2 linked regions of the Macaca mulatta genome follow. The protein of the gene in region 2 purifies or fractionates together with the protein of the main gene of each other region. This does not show direct contact. Links are inferred from orthologs where the notes say so. Each region holds a gene or a part of one and is shown on either strand. Other genes may lie near its edges.

Region 1 (3,821 bases), on a different chromosome or scaffold from region 2:
AGGCCTGGGACTTGAGTGGGACCTGGGAACCAGATACACTGCCAGGAGGCCATGGCTGGAAAGAGCAGGGCCTGGGAGGCACAGTAAAGCTGGGCCACGAGGAACGGAGGGAAGCACGCTTCCTGGGAGGCCCTAGACCATGGGAAGAGGTGTTCAGGTCAGCAGTGATGTTTAGGGAGGGGTTTGGTGGCAGTGTATGGCACTTGGTCAGGAGCAAGTGTACAGAGGGAATGGGGTGCCGAGGATAGACCCCCACTTGCTGTTCGAGCTCAGTCACACAGCACAAGGGCGGGTGCACTGGTGACTTGAAGATTCAGGCTGCAGGGTCGAGTGTTGGAAGAGTTGGCTTCTGCAAGGTAGAGGAGCAGGCCTGTGGCCCAGGTGGCTGTGGAATGACACACAGGAGGCATTGAAGGGTGTCAGCGCTTTTCTGCACCTCTTTTTTAGTCAGCTTCTGGAACCACAGGGCATCTGGCCCTGACCTGGAGCCAAAGCCAGTTCTCTAAGGCCAGGCATATATGGCCTTCCTGCCCAGTGGCTGGCGAGGGCTGATCTGCACAGGCAGTCCCCAATGGCACACCTGTTACCAGCCCAATCAATCCTGCTCATGCTCGCTTTGGCAAGATCAAACGGGTTGTGTGCCAATGGCCACGTCTACACAACCAGGATGTCATGCTCTGCCTTCCCTAACCCAAGTGCCTGGGGAACCAGAAGCATCTTCATGGCCTTTGTCCTCTTTATGTTCTCTGGAACCAGAAATGTTGTGCCTATGGTTTGTCTCCTGTGCTGCCTTGGGAAAGGACACTCATTCTGTGTGTTTGGCTACTTGTGGTGGGGTGTTCCGACGCCATTTTCCAGGGGTCTGATGGTGACCAAGAGATCACAGGCCAAAATGTGTTAAATAAGGCTTTGGCGGAAGGGGGCATGAGGGCTCATGGGCTGGGAGGCGCTGCGGGAGGGGCCTGAGGCTGGTTCTGAGCACAAGTATCTTGGGTGTGCTTGACACCTAGTGCTGCCTATCCCTGCTGCATACACACAGCAGCACGCACACACACAGCAGCACGCACGCACACAGCAGCACGCACACACACAGCAGCACGCACACACACAGCAGCACGCACACACACAGCAGCACGCACACACACAGCAGCACGCACACACACGAAGCATGCACACACACGCAGCACGTAGCACGCAGCACGCACGCGCAGCACGCTTGCACACACTCCTCTCAAGGAGGCTGCTATCTGAGAGTACGCAGTGGGGTTTGATCTAACCCCTCTTGAGTAGAATAGAACCTGAATTGCTGCTTCGATGGGTACATTGGGAATGTCAGAGACTTGTACGGAATTATTTTAAATGCCATCACATTCATTTGACCAACTCTGAGGCTTTCTGCAAAATGCCACTGCTGCAGACAGGAGTTCAGTGTGGCCCTGACTCTTGGGGTCAGTTTCTGAAGGCAGAAAAACAGAGGAGCCCCCACACATTTTACACTAGGAAGAGGGGGCTGGGGCCAGGGCACAAGGGGGCTTCGTGTGCTGCCGAGACTGCCTGCGGGTGGTGTGGTTAGGGCTGAGGGAGGGAAACCCCAGCTCATCACAGACAGGGTGGAGGGCCTTTTTGACAAATGGTGGGGAGACATCTGGTGGCATCAGGACATGGGGAACGGGCCCATGTGTTGGGCCACAGAGGAAGGGGCAGCTGCTCCCTGCTCCTCTGTAAAGATGGCCCTGAAGGGCCAGGAGGCACTGAAAAAGCAGCTATTGCTTGCAGAGGCCGGGCACCAACACATCTCTCTCCTGCAGACCGGAAGCCTCCCCTCGCTGCTGCCTTAGGTGAGGCTGAGCCGCCGGGCCCTGTGGATGCCACTGACCTCCCCAAAGTCCAGATTCCTCCTCCGGCTCACCCGGCCCCTGTGCACCAGCCACCGCCGCTGCCACACCGGCCCCCGCCCCCGCCGCCCTCCAGCTACATGACTGGGATGTCCACCACCAGCTCCTACATGTCTGGAGAGGGCTACCAGAGCCTGCAGTCCATGATGAAGACCGAGGGACCCTCCTACGGCGCCCTGCCCCCCGCATACGGCCCACCTGCACACCTGCCCTACCACCCCCATGTCTACCCACCCAATCCGCCCCCACCACCTGTGCCTCCTCCCCCAGCCTCCTTCCCCCCACCTGCCATCCCGCCCCCTACTCCTGGCTACCCTCCACCCCCACCCACCTACAACCCCAACTTCCCACCCCCACCTCCACGCCTGCCCCCTACCCATGCAGTCCCCCCTCATCCTCCTCCAGGCTTGGGCCTGCCTCCAGCCAGCTACCCACCTCCTGCCGTGCCCCCTGGAGGACAGCCCCCTGTGCCCCCGCCCATTCCCCCACCTGGCATGCCTCCAGTTGGGGGACTGGGGCGGGCAGCCTGGATGAGATAACGTGAGCCTTTTTTTCCCCCTTTGTTTTTTTTAACAAGTTTTTCTAATCGACTTGCAGAGTAGTTGAAGTGGGTAAGCAGCAGGGTACCTTATATAATGCGCGACAGTTGCAGTATGGGAAGAATGGACCAGGCCCCTGGGATAAAATCAGGGTGGTCCTCACATCTAGAGGACGGGGACAGCCAGCTTTCAGAGTAGCCTCATCAGCGCCCTTGCAGTCTGACTGTGTACACTTGGTTCAGCTAATGTCTGAGAGTCCTGCACTGGGTTACTTTATACTAGTGAAGATGTTAACCAGCCATATTGGCTCAATAAATAGCTTCGGTAAGGAGTTAATTTCCTTCTAGAAATCAGTGCCTACTTTTCCTGGAAACTCATTTTAAATAGTCAAATTCCATCTGAAGTCAAGCTGTTGTCATTTTCATTCAATGACGTTCTCTCCCATGACACCCAGAAGGGTCAGAAGAACCACATTTTTGATTTATAGATGTTTGCATCCTTTGTATTAAAATCATTTTGAAGGGGTTGCCTCGTTGGATGGCTTTTTTTCCTCCAAGGAGAAGGGGAGAAATGTACTTGGAAAGTAATGTATGTTTACATCTATTTGCAAATTCCTGTACATAGAGATACATTTTTTAAGTGTGAATGTAACAACATACTGTGAATTCCATCTTGGTTACAAATGAGACTCCTTCAGTCAGTTATCCAAATAAAAGCAGTTCTGAAACTATCCCTTTCTCTGTTAATGGGTGGAAGGTAGGGCTCCAGGCCTTCGCAGTCCCCGGGTGATAACATTGTACAAGCCCCTCCTTCCGGACCCTGGGCACCGGGAGAGGCCTGGCTGCAGTTCACAGGAGCCAGAGCCAACCCCACTGCCTCCCAGGGCACTCTGGGTGGATCGGCACATTGGCCTGCCAAGCCAGCCTGCACCCATCCTGTGCCTGCCTTGGTTTCCTTTGGAGGACCTGGTTGAGTTCCAAACCAGCTTGAAACTTTCAAGCCTTGCTGCATAGAACACAGACGGGAACACAGGCTTGGGTTTGAAACCCTTTCCACTTCTGGCCTGCGATGAGACGGAGGCAGCTGGAGGAGCAGCGGCCTCGCCATCCACCTTGAGGGGCCAGGGCTGTGTCTGTGGAAGGGGCCCCGACTGAGCCCCCATCTGAGGTGCTTGAAGGGCCTTGGCCCTGTCTCTGCTTGCTGACCCTGCCACCCATGACGGAAACAAGCACTGAGCACCCAGCCAGGAGGCTCACAAAGAGGCCTTTATTTATCTAGCTCAAAGTAGACACTATCACAATCTTGTTTATTACTCCTTTTACTAAAATAGTTCAAATCAATGTGTTTACCACACTATCAAAAAGTTCTATTCTTGTCTCCCCACGTC
Region 2 (3,821 bases):
TATTAAAACATGGTTTCTTTTCATTCGTTCAGATCTAATTTTATGTTCTTCAGTCAGATGTTTTATTTTTTTTCTGTTGCATGTGTGTATTTCTTTTTAAGGCATTTTATTTTTGTTGCTGTGGTGTCTGGAAGTGTTTTTAAAAGCACATTTTCTATTTGATTATTGCAAATACTCAAAAATGTTTTAAATTATGTAATCTTGGAAAGTAATATTTGATAGTTAATATAATAACATTTAATATAGATAGTTTTTTAAGTTTTAAATTATAACTGAAATTAAAACTTTATTTTTTTGCTTTCAGAAATGTTGATTGAATCTTCAGATAACTCTTGACTAAAGCCTCATTACAAGTTAGAGACTATGGTTTTCAAATAAGTTATTCTAAATAGGCCTATTTTCAGTTGGCGTTCGGGTGATACCTTTTCTAGAAAGAAGCCTTTACTGTATTTCAGACTTGATTTAGCTACCCTTTAGCTACTACATTACTCTAGGAATCTGTTTGTATAACACTTTATCCTACTTCCTGTCTTCCAGACTGTAAGCTCTTTTTTGAAAGAAACTGTAGCTTAATGTGTTTGTTGTTAAATTTCCAGTGCCTTACAAAATACCTAGCACATGGAAGCTCATAATCAATATTTGCTGAATGGAGGGAGAGGAAAATTGAGAAGTGGGCTGTGTGATACATTATTTTAAAATTAAAACTACAGGCCTGACATGATGGCTCACGCCTATAATCCCAGCTCTCTGGGAGGCCAAGGCAGTTCTTTTGGATCACCTGAGGTCGGGAGTACAAGACCAGCCTGGCCAACATGGTGAAACCCTATCTCTACTAGAAATACAAAAAAATTAGCCGGGCATGGTGATGCGTGCCTGTAGTCCCAGCTACTTAGAAGGCTGAGGCAGGAGAATTGCTTGAACTCGGGAGGCGGAGGTTGCAGTGAGCTGAGATTGTGCCACTGCATTCCAGCCTGGGCAACAGAGCAAGACTCCGTCTTAAAGAAACAAAACAAAACTACAAACCAGTTTCTTTTAAAGCATGTTTTTTCTCTGTTAAAGAACCTTTCAGTGAGTAACACAGGACATACATTTACTATGATTATTAGGTCGTTTTTATCAGATGGTATTATTAAGTTTTTATCAAGTGGTATTAAAGGATTCATTTGTTTTACAGTATTATTATTCAACATGAATAGGAGAATAATTACAATTAAATTATTTACATTGATAATAATATCTTCAGTAATTTCTGATCACAGCAGTGTAGTTGGAATAAATTTTTTCACTATGGGACTCAACTGCTATGACAGTATGTGAAGTCCAAATTTTATTATCATTATGAGATTCTCTTTCAACATGTCACATTATATTAGATGACGTACTTTGTCATATCAGGGAAATTTAAAATAAATTGCCAAGTTAAGATATACTTTAAAACTCAGAGCTCTTTATGCATTCATAAAAAGTACAAAGCTAATGGAGTTTAAATTTCAACTGTAATTCTAGTAGGCTGGAATCTTAAAAAAATTAGAAGAATCATTGTCCAATTTAGAAAAATTAATTAACCCTGAAAAGGGTCAAAGCTGAATTAGCTGTGGATATTTAAATGGGCAAGATAAATACTATCATGTGCTTTCATTTATTTATTACAGTAAAACATCTTTTGTGTCTCTACCAGAATCAAAGTAAGTGCTTTGCAGCTGGGTGTTGTGAGGCCAAGGCGGGCAGATCACTTGAGGTCGGGAGTTCAAGACCAGCCTGGCCAACATGGTGAAACCCCGTCTCTACTAAAAATACAAAAATTAGCCGGGTGTGGTGGCAGGCACCTGTAATCCCAGCTATTTGGGAGGCTGAGACAAGAAAATCGCTTGAACCCAGGAGGTGGAGGTTGCAGTGAGCCAAGATCCTGCCACTGCACTCCAGCCTGGGCGACAGTGAGACTCCATCTCAAAAAAAAAAAAAAAAAAATGCTTTGCAAAACTGAGTTCTTATGCAAAGCATGTTTAGTTGATTTTCAATTTTAATGTACAGTTTTATAGTTAATTCTGTATTGTTTTAAAAAATAAACTTTATTTTTATAACAGTCTTATATTTATAGAAAAATTATGAAGATACTACAGGGACCCTGAATACCCTGTACCCAGTTTCCTTACTGTTAATATCTTACATCATTGTGGTACATTAGTTAACAATGAATCAATATTGATACAAAGTTCCTACCTTATACAGATTTCCTTAGTTTTTACCTAATTCTGTATCATTTTTACCCCAAATTTTGCATTTTACAGTTGAGTATAGTGTATTACTTTAGCTAGAAAGAAACTCAGACAATAGTCTTATAATGTGAAATATTGTTGAATATTCATGACTATTGCTGCTTAAATGTAAGACATAAGCACATTTTTATTACTTAACAAAATTTTTATTTGTCTGACTTCTTTCACTTTTAGCTTACGAGGAAATATTTCAGTAAAAGCAGTTAAAAAAGAAGTAGAAAAGAAACTCCGATGTCTTCTTGCTGATTTACCGCTGCCCCCTGAGCTACCAGGAGGAGATGATCTCTCAAAAAGTCCAGAGGAAAAGAAAACAGCAACACAATTACATAGTAAAAGGAGGCCTAAGTATGTGCTTGCTTTCTACCTGCTCTTAAATTGACCGGCAGTGATTCTGGGTCATCAGAAGTTCATAAAACACTAAATTAAGGTTTAAAATAAAAAATGTACTTATTCTTTCAACTTAAATATATGAATTCTATTACAGTTTTGAAAAAATTCATAATTGCTTGCATTCCTATTCACAGTGACTAATAAAACCAAATTTAATTTTCCTTCATAATTTGTAATGTATTAATTTCCTGGGGTATTGTATTTGTTTAAGATATTTTCTGTTATTAAGAGATTGAACACAGAAACACTTAAATTGGGCAGAGTAGAAGTCAGCATTTAGTGAGCCCAAATAAAATTAGTAATGGGCAAGCTGCTATTACCTTTGCTTTTAGCTCCATTTTCTCCTATAAACAAATACATTCTTTGTTTTGCAAGAGGTGGAGTAGAAGGTGGTTTGAAATTTGTATCCTAAATTAGCTTCAAGTAAGTGCCCAGAGAGACCTTTTTCCCTTAAAACCTGTTAATCAGTTAAAGGCGGGCAACACTGGTGCTTTTTTTTTTTTTTTTTTTTTTTTTTTAAACTTCCTAACCAAGGGACAGTGAGGACTTTAAGTTAGATCTGATTTTAGAATTGCAGTTGAGGTAGTATGTAGTGTGTGTGTTTGAGGTCGTTTTCTAAACTGGCCGGGCACAGTGGCTCATGCCTGTAATCCCAGCACTTTGGGAGGCCGAGATGGGAGAATCACTTGAGTCCAGGAGTTTGATACCAGCTTGAGCAACATAGGGAAACCCCATCTCTACAAAAAAAAAAAAAGAAAGAAAAAAGCCCGGTGTGGTGGTGCATGCCTGTGGTCCCAGCTGCTCAGGAGGCTAACGCAGGAGTATCACCAGAGCCAAAGAGGTCAGGGCTGTAATGAGCTATGATCGTGTGCTACTGTACTCCAGCCTGGGCGACAAAGCAAGACCCTGTTTCCAAAAAAAAAAAAAAAAAAAAAAAAGCCAAAAAATACTCTCTTCTTGAGCACTGTAATTTTATTCTTTTACTTGAATTTCTGTGATTTACTATAATATTAAAATACTACAAAATTATGTATCTTTTTGAAGAATGTAAGATTTTTGTCCTACCTATCCATCTGTATCTGCTTAAATGTGGATTCATGAGAGTTGGTTGTATTAATACCTTTTGTACTCTCTTAGACTGCAAAATCTTTTTTT

What was found.
Region 1: the proteins of CDK13 (region 2) and CCNK purify together in Homo sapiens (affinity purification with mass spectrometry; 4 studies listed by BioGRID and IntAct, counting the BioPlex papers as one, with this or other methods). This does not show direct contact. The link is inferred for Macaca mulatta from reciprocal best matches to the Homo sapiens genes CDK13 and CCNK.

What each region holds. Positions count from the first base shown.
Region 1 is NC_133412.1:172,832,553-172,836,373, forward strand, and holds the end of CCNK (cyclin-K), read left to right. Parts: intron 1-1,808; coding exon 1,809-2,434; 3' UTR 2,435-3,164; downstream 3,165-3,821. UniProt on the Homo sapiens protein: Regulatory subunit of cyclin-dependent kinases that mediates activation of target kinases.
Region 2 is NC_133408.1:88,478,548-88,482,368, reverse strand, and holds part of CDK13 (cyclin-dependent kinase 13), read left to right. Parts: intron 1-2,450; coding exon 2,451-2,621; intron 2,622-3,821. UniProt on the Homo sapiens protein: Cyclin-dependent kinase which displays CTD kinase activity and is required for RNA splicing.